Schizosaccharomyces pombe: one gene and its partners. Changing the gene in region 3 together with the main gene of any one other region gives a genetic interaction. Each region holds a gene or a part of one and is shown on either strand. Other genes may lie near its edges.

Region 1 (5,124 bases), on a different chromosome or scaffold from region 3:
TGATATGCACGAATCAATCAGCGATAATGAAAATGAGGGCATTAAGGATATTCCAGTAGCTGAAGATGATGATATTACTTTGAAATTTCGAGCCGCTAAATCTAAAATTAATACTAATATTAAAAATCTCGATGACTATGGTGAAGGCAACAGATTGGACGATGTTGATGCTGAAGACAAGATTGCTAGGAAACGCTCTTTAAAGTTTTATGCTAATCAAATTGACCAAAAGGCAGCTAAGCGTTCCAGAGCGGTACTGGAGTTATCAGGTGATTTGGACATGCCATACAAAGAACGAAGATTTGAACGCCAGCAGCGATTGATGAGAGAAGCTGCAGCCAGGGGTCGAAATCAGGATGCTGGTGCTGATCTTGATGATGAAGATCCGGAATCAATGGGCATACCTGCAAATGTCGATCGTGAAGTTGAAGATCAAGATGATTTGGATTATTACGAGTCTCTCGATAAAAAATCAAAGATGGCTAAAAAGCTCCGTAAAGAAAATCACGATCTCGAACGTGATTTAATAAGAGCTTCAAGGCACCCAGAACTAATTGAATTAGGTGAAGGTGATAAGCGTGGAATTACTTTAGACATTGCTAAAAATAGAGGATTAACTCCCCGTCGACCTAAAGAAAATAGAAATCCTCGACTTAAAAAGCGTATGCGCTACGAAAAAGCTAAGAAGAAATTAGCCAGCAAAAAGGCTATTTACAAGGGCGCACCACAGGGCGGCTATGCTGGTGAGCAGACTGGTATTAAAGCTGGTTTAGTTAAAAGTATTAAACTTCAATAGAAGTGGTGGTTGGTATTGATTCAACTATTAATTCTGCATATATTAGGTTTTTTGAATTTTCGTGTTATTAGATACATATAATAATAATGTGGTTTTGGGTTATGTTATTTGCTAGAACAATGTCGTTAGCCTAGTGATATGATTTTAAAATGCTAAAAGTCTATGTAATCTGGTTTATAATCATTAAATCATTTATAATCCTTTGCCCATCCTGATTAAGTAAGTTGATTGTAATAACAGATTGAAAAGTAAAAAAAAAAGAATCAACACTTAAATAGAATAAACATGTTTATTAAAAGCTTGATTTAGAAAGAAATTTCATAAGTAAGTTGCCTTCGTAATTGCTGCGAACATCAGTGCAGAAACTAATCTTTCTTAAAACATGCGTTTAGTTTATTAGAAAGAATTTCTTACGATTAGGCTTACATTAATTGACATATTATCAGCAAAAAGAAACAAAAATTATTTAACTGGAATGGCCCAAATGCGGTCTAGGAAATATCCAAAAGGTACCCTTTTGAGGTTATAACAAAGAAGTTTGATGATGAGAAAGGAAAGGCACCCAAGATGTTAATGCAGTAGAAAAAGTTATTTTAGACCATCGTTACTGGTGATAAATAACGAGTAAATTACTCACGAAAAAAAAAAGGAATCATGAAAAGCACTTATTTTGCGAGACGAAGCCCCAAAAGATCTCGCACATCATGAACATATTGCAGTGCATGAAGAAAAGAAAGTAAGTTTAGTAAATCAACGTCAGAGGGGTCGCTAATCCAACCTTCAATAGGTATGGCATTTTCTTTATGAGCATTGTAACTGGCTGGAGAATTATCAATTATCATGATCCGTGAAAGATGAATATTACAAATGGAAATATCTTTAACGAAAGAACTATCGACAAGTGCACAGTGTTGACGGTAGTATCGTTTAGCAAATATTTTTTTATCACGCTCCAAATAATCAATTATTGGATCAGCATATGGCTGGACAGATGCTGTGAACAAAATAAGGCGAAACCATTGACTCACATTTGATAAAAAGTAGTCAAGATGAGGCCTTTTGTGAATATAGTAAAGGATTGGATGTTCACCAGGCACATGTACTTCAATTGGCTGTCCAGAAGTCGTTCGACTACCACGAGACACGGAATGGATAAGTGTTTCATCCAAATCTAATACAAGGGTCTTTCTCGGTAACTTGCTATTCAACAAAGGCCTCGGTATTTTGTCCGCACACAGAGTAATGTTTCTAATACGGAGACGGGAAGAAGAAGGAGATTTAAGAGGATCATTAACTATCGTAAAGGAGGAAGGCAGCTTAGAAATATTGTCATTAGCAGGCGGGGAAAACTGAGTTGATTGAGGTTGATGCGAATGTCCTGAACGATTGGAATTTGCTTTTCCCATTAGGGAGACCTCTTTGGGTTTCATAGGAGAAACACACACATCTTCTTCTGAATTCAATGAATTTGAAAAAGAATTGAAAGAAATTTCTTCTTCTGCAATAGAGGGCTGAAAACGAACATGATTTCCATTAGAAGAACTGCTATAAGAATTAGAAGATCTATGTCGTTTGAAAGATGAATAGGCAGGATCCTGGTGAGAGGATGGGTAAGAATAAGAAGAATAAAACCTAGGACGGCGGACACTTGGCTGAGGGGGAAGCATCTCTCGGCGTTTATACGATAATAATACAGGAAAAAAGACAAACCGGCATAGACCCCAAAAAAAACTTGCAAGGGTAAACTCTTTCTCTTCATTCAAAAAGTGGTACAAAAATACACGAGCGGAATGAACGAAAAACGTATAAATTCGTTTCAGGAACACACGAATCCAGTAGACGACAACACGCATAATGTTGGCATGCTTCGGTTTTTCATTCCTTGTAGGAACTTCCTTTTCCGTCGGTTTTGATGACAAACTGCTAAGGCTGGACGCCGAATAAGACGATCTACGACGATTATAATGCCTCAAAGTAGCTGATGAAGCTCGCCCCCGAGCATTAGCAAGTTTTTCTTTGTCAGCTTCATCGTCGTCTAAAGGAGTGGCAAGGATTGCTTTATTAATTTCATCTGATAGCCTAGCAATCGAATTCATTACAATTATTTTCTCTCTGCTGCGATTGCAAAGAATTAAAAAATTCACCAAAAGAAGCGATGCATACAAAGTATACAACGACCAAGCAGAGTCCTTTTAGTAAAAAAGAGTAATTAATTAAATATGTGTTAGTTAGACCTAAAATATGTGGGAAAACAAAGCCAGAATCACACGGTGGTACGATGCACAATATATATAATGATGAACTACAACCCAAATAATAACATTTTCATAAGACGTAATGCTTAAGAAGATATATCAAAACTACCTTAAAGTAACAAATTTAAATGTAAACAATACGGTGTAAATATTTATTAAGTTCGTAAAATGAAAGTTCATTGCAGAAGCTTTCATTTTTTTTAACTAATAAACTTTACTTGTATGGGTTTCTGTGCAAGAAAAATTAATTTTCATTTTATTAAAAGTCTAAATATTTGTAGAAGCTAGCTTAATTGCCATTCTTTTAATCAACGTTTTGCTAGAATGTAAGTCGCCGAGCGGTCTTTTTAGGTTTCTTGACATTACTTGAAAGATGCTTTTAAGTCTAAATATATTTAATGGTACGTTAAAATGTATCAAGCTCCTTTAGACGTTGCATACAATAAATTACTTACAAATAACAGGCTGAACTAACTTATTGACTTTACAAAATTATAAACATATCGATAAAATTGGTTAAGCGGACACTAAAGAGAATTCAAAACACTTGCTAATCTGAATATTGCACTCTTCCTCAGGTATCAGCACCTCCTTACGTATTTTTTATGAAAAGGGAAAACTGGGCTAATGCAACATTCGTAAACCAATTTATCTATTGCTAAATCATTCCAAAATCGTAAGCGTTTGCATTTCATTGTAAAGGAGATTGTTTTGTTGCTGTGTTAATCTACATGTAATTGATAGCAGCTTAGAGACTTCGGAGAAGAACTCCTCTCCTACTTGAACACTGTCTTATGACTAATTTAAGTATTACTTTTAAACTTCATCTTTTTCTAGTAAAGAGAAATTCTCAGTTAACATAAATCAATAAATTGTTCAATTGAAAGCATGTAGTCGGTAGGAGTTATATTTTATATAATTATATAATGGTTTAAAGATAGCACTTTAAATATATTATAGTATAACAATAAAGTCAAGTTCTTAACTATAGGTGAAATTACTCCAGCATTGCTTCCTTGAAACACTGATTACTTGCTTTGTCGCTAGGTTGCTCTTGTATTGTCGTTAGATGTGTTTTTGTAAACACAATTCAATCTAATTTTATTTTTCTAATTATCTTCATGTCAACATGGCCTATTGATGCAATTAGTAAAAAACCTAGTGTAAGTTTGGATTATGGAATTATAGGGGCGTGTCAACTTTTAAATCCATCTGGCTATCACAGAGCGGAGAAGGTTGAAAATAATGAATGGACTTTTGCTAGGTATGACTCCTATACGGGCGTCGAGCTTGTTGACTTGGACAAAAGATGGGATATCTTATCTTTAAATCCAAACTACAAACTCCCTAAATTAACTGAGCTTCCTGCTGAGGCCACCAATTCCACGCGTAAAGCGACTAGTAGTTCATTTGGTTTAAGTGTTTGCAGATATGTTCCGCGAAATTTATTTTCTACACTAGCGAAAGAGTCTCAATTAGCTTCTTCTGCTGAGTCTATATATAATCCACATATTTTAAATACTTTTTGCTTGGGTAAAACAGCGCCATCAGATAAAAACAGATACACCACAACTGAATGTCTTGCTTGTAGCAAGATTAGCAATGAAACTGCGGAAAATCTCCTCTTTTTATGCCTCTCGTCTCCATGGATTTTTCGTGCATCTCCGACATTACAAAATACTGCAACTTTTGAAGAATTCCCATTTTACTTGAATGTATCGGCTTTTGAGTTTGCTGAGGATCCAATATGGAAATTCTCACAACCAGTGAGACAATTGGTTTTCTCTAATGGAGAACCAAGTTTGCTCTTCGCATTATCGTCTTGTGAGTTGGTTATATTCCAGGTAACTTATGATTTAATGTTCTTAGATGAGCCAAATACACCTGGATGCTTGTCCGCTATACCTCTGCGTTTTTTGTACGCAGATGATGTTTATAATTCTGACTCGTTTGCTAACGTGTCTGTCCATCCCACCGATAATTCATTTTTTTTAACAACTTCATCATCTGGTAGATGGACCATCTGGCAATTCTTAGATGATGGGTACAGGGAATGCTTCGGTAGTTCTTTCA
Region 2 (4,984 bases), 2.1 Mb from region 3:
CTTTCGTATTGGGGTGAAGATTGCGATGATGATATTAGCGATATCAGTGATAAGCTTGGTGTACTTTTATATGAAATTGGCGAACTTGAGGAGCATATGGTAGACAGATACGATCAATATCGTGTTAGTCTGAAGACCATCCGTGATATTGAGGCTAGCGTTCAACCCACCCGTGTTAAGAAAGAAAAGCTACTTAACTCCATTTATGATGTTAGAAGCCGTGATCCTGAGTCCCCAAAGCTTATTACTATGGAACAGGAACTAGTTCGTGAGGAAGCTGCGTGTTTGGTTGCAGAAGCGCAGTTAACTAACATTACCCGCGAAAACTTTAAACGTGCTTTTACTCTTCATATTGGTACATTACTTGAGCATTCTGAAAAGGTTGCTATTCTTTGCGGGTATGCCAAGAAGATCCTCGATCTCCTGGACGATACTCCCATTGTTCCCGGTGAGCCTCGCCCTATTTACGATGGTTACAACATAACCCGTGACTATATTGTTGAGGCTGAACGTGAGTTGGCTAATTGGCAAAATCCTTTCCAAACTCCTGAACCCCTTACCGACATTGATGGTTTGCCTTCTCAAAGTCATTATCAAACACAATTTCAAGCTAGTGTCGTTCCTCGCACAGATGTAATCAATGAACCTCCACGCCGTTACTCTCATGCGAATGGTGTAACTACTTCCGGCACTACACACTCTTACACCTCTACAGGTAGTAAAAGATATTCTCAAATGGGTACAGAAGATTATCAACCTAGTTTTCAACCAAACATTCTTCAAAGCACCCAAGTTGTTGATAACTTTGAAATTGGCGAGGAGGATGATGAAGAAGTAGGATCTCAAGGCGTTGCTGAAACGTCTATGCCTAGCACTAGTGCACAACCTATTGCTGCTTAAGCAAGTCTTGGTGTGTATTCACGCGATTTCTGGTGATCCTTACGCATTCATCAATTGACGTGAATTTTTTGTCATGTCAATTCACATAATTTGCTAGCACGTGTTAAGCACTTGCTATTGCTACATATGCATGCTTATCGAACTAATACTCACGTTACTCTCATTACCATTGTTTTTGTGTCTATGTCGTTTAACCATATTTATTTTCCACCGAGTTTTATGTTTCGCAGATGTTGGTTTCTTAATTATCTTGTTTTTATTTAGTGTTTTTTTTTAATTCCTGCGGTCAAAATTAGGCTTAACAAGGTTGTTGGTTAAAGCAATTAATTAACAATGGAGATTATTTGTGTTGAAAAAGGATTTTATTAAATGTATGATTTTATAATTTTTACTTCTCAATCCGATTTAATAAAATATTTATGTAAAAATTGGCAGTTCGGTTGTATTAGTAAAAAGCAATACAACATAGATAGCAAATTCAACTGGGTCAGATCTTTAGTATATATTATTTAACAACGGTAAAAATATCAATAAAGCTTAATTAAAGCAAAACATATGCTTCCTTTCGAAGAGTTGGTTATCATATAACACCTAACTTTTATAGAAATTATGTATCAAAATATAAAGCGACATTGCCTATATGTTACTTGCAGTCAAAGAAGGCTCGTAAACTATTTTGATTATGCGATAGAGTATGGTATGTTTTCTGTGATATCTGAAAAACGCTACGATGAATTATTAATTATTTTTGCTACTCTCAAAATCAATAATATCATACAGTATTATGATTTTCGTTTGCCTATTCTTCGAATTATAGTTTGTAGTTCAGCCTTAATATAGGTAATTGGGGAGTATCAGCATCACCAGACGACCTATCTTGTAAAGCAAAGGTACAATGAATAGCGATACTTTACGTATCATTACATAGTGCAATGAGAATTGTTAATAATATCATACATTACACTGTCACTGAAAGTTCGTTTTGTAAAACGTGCTGCATAAACCTTCAGGTAACAATGAACTCGTTACTCAGGCGCTGCGTTGGAAATCAAGCCTTCAAAAATCGTTTCATGGACATTAAAGAGTTTGATTTGAATTTTTGTAAATATAGCATTCTCATTTTTTACTTTTGAGACCTAATTTGGAAAATACATTAGTCCGGGGTTCATTATAGCAGAAAAGCATCTACGCTTCTCAAATACAACAAAATAATGAATCAGGACGTTAGAGTATTTCCAGACAGCATTTATCTATCATGTTCCAAAAAAAAAGCTTCTCTTCGAATAGATAGAGTCGACGGATGCCTTAGTTTGAGCAATTCTCTTGATCTCAGCAAGACACCTGACTATAATAACGTTCAGTTATATGGATTTATTCGATTGAAAATATACAAATATGTAGTTCTTGTTACAAGTTGTGATTTGCATGCAGCAATTCTCGGAAACAATATTTATCGGGCAAGGAAATTTGCTATCTTCCCAATTACAAGGACTCTTCCATTCTCCACGGGTCTGCTAAATATTAAAGATGAGGAAGAACTACATTATATCAGTTTGCTCAATAAACATTTGTCAAAAGGCCAAATACTTTTTAGTCCAACGTTAGATCTAACCTGTTCCCTTCAAAGATTACGCGTACTAACCCAATCTTTTGAACTGACATCAAAATATAATTACCGCTTTTTTTGGAATAAATATGCATTTCATGAATTAATTGAATTGACGAATAAGGATTTAGGCTTTCAAGAATGGATTCAACCGATGATTCAGGGTAATATCGCCATTACTAACTCGTTTTTAAAGACTTATAACCTTAGACTGTGTGTTATTACACGACATTCTCCTGACTATGCGGGTACGCGGTATTTCACCAGAGGTGTAAACGCACAAGGAAGTGCTGCTAATTTTAATGAAATTGAACAAATAATAATGATCGAATCACCCATCACCCTTGAAGAACAAATGGTTCTTTCTTTTACTCAAATTCGAGGAAGTATCCCCATGTTCTGGGCCGAAGTTAATGATCTTCATTATCGACCTTTATTATCTTTACAACCTCTTGATTATAGCGAGACTGTGTTTGGGAAGCATTTTCAAGAACTTGCCAACGATTATGGGGACAATCTTGTGGTGGTCAATCTTCTAGACCAAAAAGGACGTGAAGCACCTCTACGGTCTGGGTTTGAAAAATTATGTAAACGAAATAAAAACCCTCCTTTGTCTTATGTTTACTACGATTATCATAAGCAAGGAAGTAGAAATCTCCCTTTGTTTCTTGCTGAAATTCAAAGTCTCTTGATAGAAGGAAAATATTATGCCGAGCATGGATCTAAAACTACTGCAATGCAAACCAACTTTGTAAGGACAAATTGTATGGATTGCTTAGATCGGACGAACGTCATTCAGACTAGCATTGCACAGTTTATTCTAAACATGCAATTACACGATATTGGTGTACTTTCTAGCTCTGAGAGTTTGGAAGAATATGATAGTTTTTTACAAGATTTTCGCTTAATATGGGCTAATACTGGAGATTATATCAGTGATCTCTACACTGGTACCCCGGCCTTAAAAGGCGATGTGACTCGCCATGGAACGAGAACCATTTTTGGAGCTTTCAAAGATTTATTAAACTGCTTTCGTAGATATATTCTTAACAATTTTTTTGACGGTATGCTGCAAGATAGCTATGATTTGGGTCTTGGAGTATTTCGTCCTTACGACTCACTTTCGATTCCGGACTTGCCTTTGCGTTTTCACTGGACTAGATTTGTGGCACCTGGAATTTTTTTGTTCACCACGATAATATTAACTATACAAGAATTATTTGGAAATCCAAGTCTGTTCTGTCGTCTGTTATATTCTATCCCTATGGTGAATGCTGGAATCTACCTATATTTTCATCGTAGACAATACGTTAATTGGCCTCGTCTAGTACTACCAACGTATGCTAAGGGAGGTTGGTTTTCGTTTCGTAATCATTTCCGAAATATTACTCTTAAAGTGTTTCGTTTTTTGCGTTCCGGCTCTTTCAAAAAAAGTGTCTAACTGTGCATTTCAATAACTAAAGAACAGTATTGCTATAACTCTTAATTAGCAGAAAACGCTCTTTGAACACTCGAAGTTCACTCTTTATTTCATTAGACTTCATAGATGTCAATCTTGCTACTGAACAAAGCGATGCTACCCAACTTTATCAAGTGACTAATTCAGATCATTTTACGTGATTGGTAATTGTAACTTTATTTTCTTTAATTGCTCCAAGCTTCCTACCAATATCAATTAGTAATTTAAGATTTTCATAATTGTTAGAGCCCTTAACAAACTATTGTAGTATGGATAACACACGAAAAAAATATAGCAGACAAAATTAATATTTCTAACTTTTATTAAGTCAGTGTTAAATATTGGGCAACTTTGACCATTGAATCACTGAGGCTTTTGACTCAAGTTTTACTCGGTTTTAAACAGTAAATGAAATATATGAAAAAGCCAAGCTTTCTTTCAATTTCATAAGTGTTGTTCATGTTCAATATTTAGGATACATACTTCTTCCAATTTAGGGGCATTCTGGTTTAATATTTTCAATGAACATGTTATAAAAATGAATTTTTTAAAAGATCATACAGTTCAGCAACGTTTTCTAATACTTCCAATCCAGAATCTTAATTCACAATTCACATTACTGAAAAAATGATGAAGTTATGCCTTACCCGACAGTTTTTGTATGAAAACTCCACAATATTACGAAAATGATTATATACACTTTTACAATCAGCTTAGCATAATTATGCTTATAGAAATGGAAATGCTCACACTTAATTTTGAATATTATTTTAATAGTGGATTTAACTACTCCTAGTACCAAGTCAAAGACTTGAGATCACTTAATGTAGCTTACGGAAGCGTAAACATCTCTCGCAATAATACTGCGTAACGAAGACCTGCAATTTAGTATATTAAGCTTGAACTTACACGTATACCCCTCTTGTTTATGTTAGCAGGAGTGCAATGTTCTGAACTTGTATATTTTAAGCCGTTCTGTTAAATATTATTAATTTAATCGTTTTTCTTTTTAAAAATTA
Region 3 (6,308 bases):
CAATGAAAACGAAATTATGCAAAAGACGGCTGTAAATGCAGGTTTTATTGATGCTGCCAAATATCTTCTAGAATACGCAACTAAAGAAGAAGAGAATGAAATTAATTTTTTATCCGATGAATTGCAATCCAGCGTTTGTTTTAATCTTCCTGCTACCAAAAAGGAGCAAAAAAACCTAATCTTAGAATCAGTTTTGCTAGCCGTTGCTGCATTAACAACTTCTAAAGATGAATACAGAAAACTAATAGTTGATGCTAAATATTTGCCTGTTATCATTAATGCTTTGAAAATCAATTCTAACAGCGTGAAAAAGGCTGCTTGTGAATGCTTATTAAGTCTCTCGAGAAGCGTTTACATTTTACGTACGGGCCTTGCCGATGCAGACGTGAGCGAACCATTAATAAAGTTGCTTTCTGACCCGGATACTAGAGTCAAATCGACTGCTACGTCTGCCATTTGTAACTTGGTACTTAAGTTTTCTCCTTTGAGAGAGAAATTCCTTACTACAAATTTCATTGATACTTTGATATCAAATATTAGTACGAAAGATAGCAGTCTAAGAAAGAAGACCGTGTGGGTTCTGCGGCATGTTGTATTTGGTGATGATGAGACGATCCAGCTTGAACCTTTAAAAAAGATCGGTGCTTCAAAGCTTGTGGAACTTTGCAATGACGAAGATCTGGGGGTCCAAGAGCAAATGTTGCAAGTGCTGCGAAATTTTACATGTCAGAAAGAAGAAAGCGTGGATTTTCTTTTGAAAATGGTTCCTATGGAGTTGTTAGCAAAAATTTTGCTTGAAAAATTAGAAAGTAAAAATCCTATCCTAATTGAACCCAGTATTTACATTTTGGTGCACATCGCTGCCAGCGATGGTGAGCTTAGGGATTCTATCCTAAGGCAAACCAAACTACTACTATTGGTGAAGGAAATTATGCTACAAGAAGCACAACGTCTCAAGCCCGAGCAAATGTCCACAAATGTGTCATCTCCGGAAAGTGACAGTGAAATGGATTTGCAAGAAGATGATTTTGATAGGGAAATGCGTCCTCCTTTCGATATTTATGAAGAGGACACTTATGAACCAAACTCCGAAATTCTGTTGGCCGGAATTTGGCTCTGTATTAACATTCTATGGCCCAAACAATGTACATCTCCAAGCCAGGAAGATAAGGAAAGAGCAAGTATCTTACAAAATCTCGGATTTGGAGAATGTTTGCAGATGCTACAAAATCACTCATCTCCTGATGTAAGGGAACGTGTCAAAGATGCCTTGATGTACATCAATGTAACCGATTAATTTCTATTACGCTTTTCCGTTGTCTTTGCCGACTTGATTGGAACAGTCTAACAAATCGGAGCCATTTTCGCATTTAGTATTTCTGTATGTATAAATGTGTGCACAACTCTTGCAGCTGAAGTTAACAGGTTGTTGGATTGAAGTACTTTGAGAATGATCGTATATAAAAAGATTTAATGATTTATCAAAACGAATAAAATAAGTATTATGAACATTCAACTTATATGTATGCGGGATAGTGTAAAAACCTATTTAACATTGTAAAAATTTTTTAAGGAAAGTTGTACTTTGACAAGAACAATTTCATTTACATGTATTCTACTAAATTTATCAGAATGTTGGGAATTTTTTTGTTGGTATATAATGCCGAAAGGAAATTAATCGAATATGAAGAAAGTGGCGGAACTAAAAAACAAAACCCACAAACTAATTATTTAAATAAATATAACATAATAACTTGTTAAAATAAGAGTAATACTAGAGAATGTGTGCTCAAGTGGAAAGCATGTAATACTTGCACAACGTGATGGAAGAGATTAGTGTAGTAGCGCAGCGACAGCTTCCAACAACCAACTAATCGAGGAGGAAAGCAAAAGTGAGAATTGAAAAGAAGTAGTACATTAAAGACCTTTAAATTCTTTGAAAGAATTGCCTTTATAAAGGTAGTCTATTGCATTTCAAAGTACTCTCAAGATGAATTTAGAATTTTCTTTTGGAAATTTGATCGCCAAAAATACCGAGAATTCGACTAAGGAAGAAGGAACTTGGGAAGTAAACAAGCTCATGAAATTTAGTTCAGAGGAGGGGAGGTCTTCCTCTGATGATTATATGTTTTCCTCTCCCGATTTTGAAAAAGCCGGAAACGGCGATGCAGAAATGCGTGAATTTTTTAACTTCGATGGATTGCCGGATCAAGGTCTAAATTTGCCTAGTATAGCTCCTCCGTCTTTATCCCATGCCAGTTCACCTAACTTATCGAATTCACAAGATGAAGCGGAATGTTTACCGTCTGATCGTCAGCAAGACTACATCAATCCTAGTTTGCATTTGAACAGAACGGTGTTTCCTACTCCGCAACATTCTATTTCTGATGCTAATTTTCTAGCTAATACCGTTGATCAACCTTTGGGAGATAATCCCATGTTTGGAGAGTCGGATGTTTATCTTTTAAAAATGGATCCTATGAAACAAGCACCTTATGAAGCTGGATTTAATTCTGTAAAGTCATCGGGCGCCATCGAAGATCCATTACAGTTTAGACAGCCGATTACCATGTTGGAAACTCCCTTCAACGAATCTATTAATACTCTTACGCCATATGCCGAAGATTATGCATTTTCCTCTTTAAATACGTCTGCACCGCCTCTTTCTAATAAGGAGTACGCGTTCTCAGTTAATCATTTACCAGCTATCAATGAGCACAAATGGAAATCTCGGGTGGAAACTAACATGCTTTTTGAGTTGCGGATCAAGAGCAACGATAATCAAAGTGTTCCGTTTGAATATCTTCGCTTGCCAAGTTGGGCTCACCGTGAAGACAAAAAGCGTTCTTCGAAACCTCAGCCTTTGCAACCCGATCCGGAGACCGTCATTCATCTTGTACCTACCGTTCTTGCAGGTGACAAAAGCTCAGTTGTTAAGACTTGCTGTACTCGCTGTTTACTTCGAGAAAGGAAGCGCAATGCTCGATCTCAAGCAACAAAGGATGCTTGTATGCCTAACTATACTAAACTGAAGGCTTATGAGCGTAACATGACTGATGCCTCTCCCGAAGAAAAGCAGCAGTTCAGGATCAAGCTCTTAAATCAATTTCCCAAACTTGAAGACATAGATGAAGATAGAATGATAATGGTTTTTACTGGACCTGAGTACGTTCGTTTGCAATTGGATGGAAATGAAAGAGTTGCTCACATCAATGCACGGATTACATGTTACTCGTCTCATCAATCATGCCCTTACTTTCACATCATATGGGACTTATACTCCATGTCACGTTTGGTGGATCGTCTTGTTTTTCCAGAGCCTGTTACCGTTCTTGATGATCATAAAAGTAGAAATCTTACGAAATCAGAAAAGACTGGTAAGAGCAATTCTCAACAAGCTCCTTCAAACCATGTTCTTTCTAAAAGCAATACTGTCCCCAATCTTGTCACTGGTTTCCCTACCCGTTCAGATAATCCACCAAATGAAAAGCGTCGTCGAACATCCTCGAGTGAAAATTCTAGAGCACTCGACATACAACTATCTGCTAGTGACTCGCATTCACCTAATTCGAAAAGCACTTTGAAAAGTGTTGAGGGCTCAGCCTTTAGTATGAGCAAATCCCCTTCTGTGCTGAGTATGACTACCCCAAGCGGCGTAAGTCCTTCCATTTCAAAGAATGGTTTCCATGTTGTTCGAGTTCCCAGCGATGCCGCTGGTTTCCAACAAAGACAACAGCAAGAGGAAGGAGTGCTTGAAGCCCATACAAATGAAAGTGCCCCAATAGCCCCATTCCCTTACTGTACAGATGATTTCTCGTTTTCCGTTGAAGAAAAAAGTAGTGTCAACAACTTGCTTACACAATTTGATGAGGTTGCTAAACCTGATTTTGTAAGTACGCCGATAAAAGAAAATGTTGATTCTTCTTTTATAAACATGACTCCACCTGATGTTTCACATGCTCCCTTAATATCTCGGATTATTCCTAATAAGGGTTCAATCATGGGAGGTTATGAAGTTACAATTCTTGGCGCGAACTTTTTTAATGGATTAGTCTGTTTATTTGGTGACAACCCAGCTGCTGTAACTTTTTCGTGGAGTGAGTCAACGATTATAGCGACTTGTCCTCCTGCAACTAATGCTGGAACCGTTCCTGTAACCTTTCAGAACTATAATTCATCTTCTGAAGCGCCAGTAATGTTTACTTATGAAGATAATTTAGATAATGAACTTTACAAATTAACTGTTCAAGTTTTAGGCTTAAAACTTACTGGATCTATTCAAAACCCATTAACGTTATCCAAAAAATTGTTGAGTTCATGGCGCGACGATTTTGCTCAATATATAACAAATTCTATTAAGCAGCCTCCTAACAGTGAATCTAAAGGTCAGTCTAAAAAAACCTTATTGCATGATAGCAATATGGAATCGCTTAAATCGGTTATTTCGCGGATTGTGAAAAAAGACAGTAATCAGTCTGATGACAGTGTTGAAAGTACTATCCTCGCAGCATTTGCTCTTGTTACAGATACAACGACACCATACCTTTCTGATTTTAGTCTTGTTAACGAATCTGGTAGGTCACTTCTCCACCTTACTGCTGCCTGTGGATTGTCTAATGCTTCGACGTTCTTATGCAACGCAGGATGCGATGTTAACAAAAGGGACGCACTTGGCTATACACCACTGCATTATGCTTCATTGTATGATCATAAAGACATATGTGTTAATTTACTTTCCAACGGTGCCAAGCCTGATGTTATAGGAGCTAGCGGTAAAAAACCGATAGACCTCTCCTCTTCTGAGCCTATAAAACTGGTCTTTAAGGAAGCAAATAATGAACAAGCCCAAAGTATTTCTCGCTCTCTTATTAAGGATTCTGAAGGCTCCATTAATACAAATGAAACCTTAGAATCAACCAGTATTGTTAACGAAATTGAGGAATCTGCTGTTCAGACCAAGTCATATAGTGAAAGTATGTGGAATAAAACTGTTACAATGTTTCCATCGCTTCAAGAACTACCTCAGAATTATATGAGTGAAGTTCCATCCATGATGCAAAAAGCCATGCTGTCAACCTTAAAAAGTATATCGGCCATTCCCGATGATGTACCCCCTCCTTATTCTGAGTTTGCTGATGATACGACAGCGCAAGCTGGTTCTAGTAAAAGAGATAGCGCTATATCTGAAGATCCCGATCATCACAAAAGTGTTTGGTGGTCTTTGAGATGGCAATCTCGGCTTGTTGGTCGTGGAAAATCTACTGCTCTTACTCCTGAAGAAACCAGAGCAATACAGGAGCAGGCAAAGACACTGAAAAAGGCAGGAATGGACTTTATGCTATTCTCTTTCTGGTTACCTGCCCTACTTTTGCTGAGTATCTTTGGTCTTCGAAGCTATGCTCAAATGATCGGGGGATATTTATATCGCTGCATAATTGGCATTTAGGTTTGACGAACAACCATGCATGTTTTTTTCTTTCTTTTAGTTTTATTCTTTTTTGTAGATTATGAGCAAACTACTGTCAAAACTTAGGTATTATGACAATGAAATCGTATATATTATATTCGATTGGATCAATTTTTTATTATATTGAAAGTAATTGCTTATTTTGTAAGTTAAACTTACATGGGTTTAAACGCATAGAGCAGGTTGGCGCTTTTAAAACCAAAATAGATCGTTGCAGGTTTGCTGTTCTGGATCGTGAATGCAATACCTTAGGAAAGTCTTTTAATAAGCTATCGCTTTTTGCATTGCATTCTTTTTCTAAACTGAACGTTAGATTAGCTAAAGTAAGCGTCTTGAGTTTTCGAGATGAACCGCATACATTAAAATTTTTAAGTACCAATTGGCATGAACCGGTATGCGATCTGCTTATTATAATACTAGTAAATCTTGATACTCGGCAAACTCTTTCAATAATAGCCTAGCAGAAACTGGGATATGTCTAAAGTTTTACAACTGCGCTCAGCTTAAGGACTTTACGGCGATCCATTTAATAGCTAGCCATGAACACTCATAACCTCAAGATTGAGGAGTGGGTCATTCTTTTGCTTGATAAAGAAACAAATTCATTATTGGTAAAATAAAACTGAATAACCCTTAGTTCATCCTAGGAATTTGAAGAAGGGGAATGATCAAGCTTGAACAAGTAACTCTCACGCAGTCTATTGAATAATCTGAAGGTTCATCACTTTCAAGGGGTTGTCTTGGTTTAAAAAGCTTTTACCAATTCCATTTAGGTTTCTGAGAAAGGCTAAAACTCATTTGTTGTTCTTAAAGGATATTTGGATCATTCGTTGATCAAGCA

Evidence for each region. Genes that interact genetically often act in the same process or in processes that back each other up.
Region 1: of mga2 (region 3) and nem1, a mutation in one rescues a mutant of the other (synthetic rescue), as found in Schizosaccharomyces pombe (2 studies listed by BioGRID, with this or other methods).
Region 2: mutations in mga2 (region 3) and sac12 together harm fitness more than expected from each alone (negative genetic interaction), as found in Schizosaccharomyces pombe (2 studies listed by BioGRID).

The regions. Positions count from the first base shown.
Region 1 is NC_003423.3:3,371,233-3,376,356, reverse strand, and holds nem1 (Nem1-Spo7 phosphatase complex catalytic subunit Nem1), read right to left. Parts: upstream 3,056-5,124; 5' UTR 2,893-3,055; coding exon 1,462-2,892; 3' UTR 805-1,461; downstream 1-804. Other genes in the region: U3 snoRNP-associated protein Utp3, read left to right, coding at 1-796; RNA polymerase I transcription factor subunit Rrn6, read left to right, coding at 4,173-5,124. UniProt on the Schizosaccharomyces pombe protein: Catalytic component of the nem1-spo7 complex which acts as a phosphatase and may be required for proper nuclear membrane morphology.
Region 2 is NC_003424.3:2,060,769-2,065,752, reverse strand, and holds sac12 (inositol polyphosphate phosphatase), read left to right. Parts: upstream 1-1,970; 5' UTR 1,971-2,111; coding exon 2,112-3,947; 3' UTR 3,948-4,180; downstream 4,181-4,984. Other genes in the region: eisosome BAR domain-containing protein Pil2, read left to right, coding at 1-900.
Region 3 is NC_003424.3:4,123,222-4,129,529, forward strand, and holds mga2 (IPT/TIG ankyrin repeat-containing transcription regulator), read left to right. Parts: upstream 1-1,861; 5' UTR 1,862-1,990; coding exon 1,991-5,446; 3' UTR 5,447-5,584; downstream 5,585-6,308. Other genes in the region: protein Gid5, read left to right, coding at 1-1,297; shelterin complex subunit Pot1, read left to right, coding at 6,308-6,308.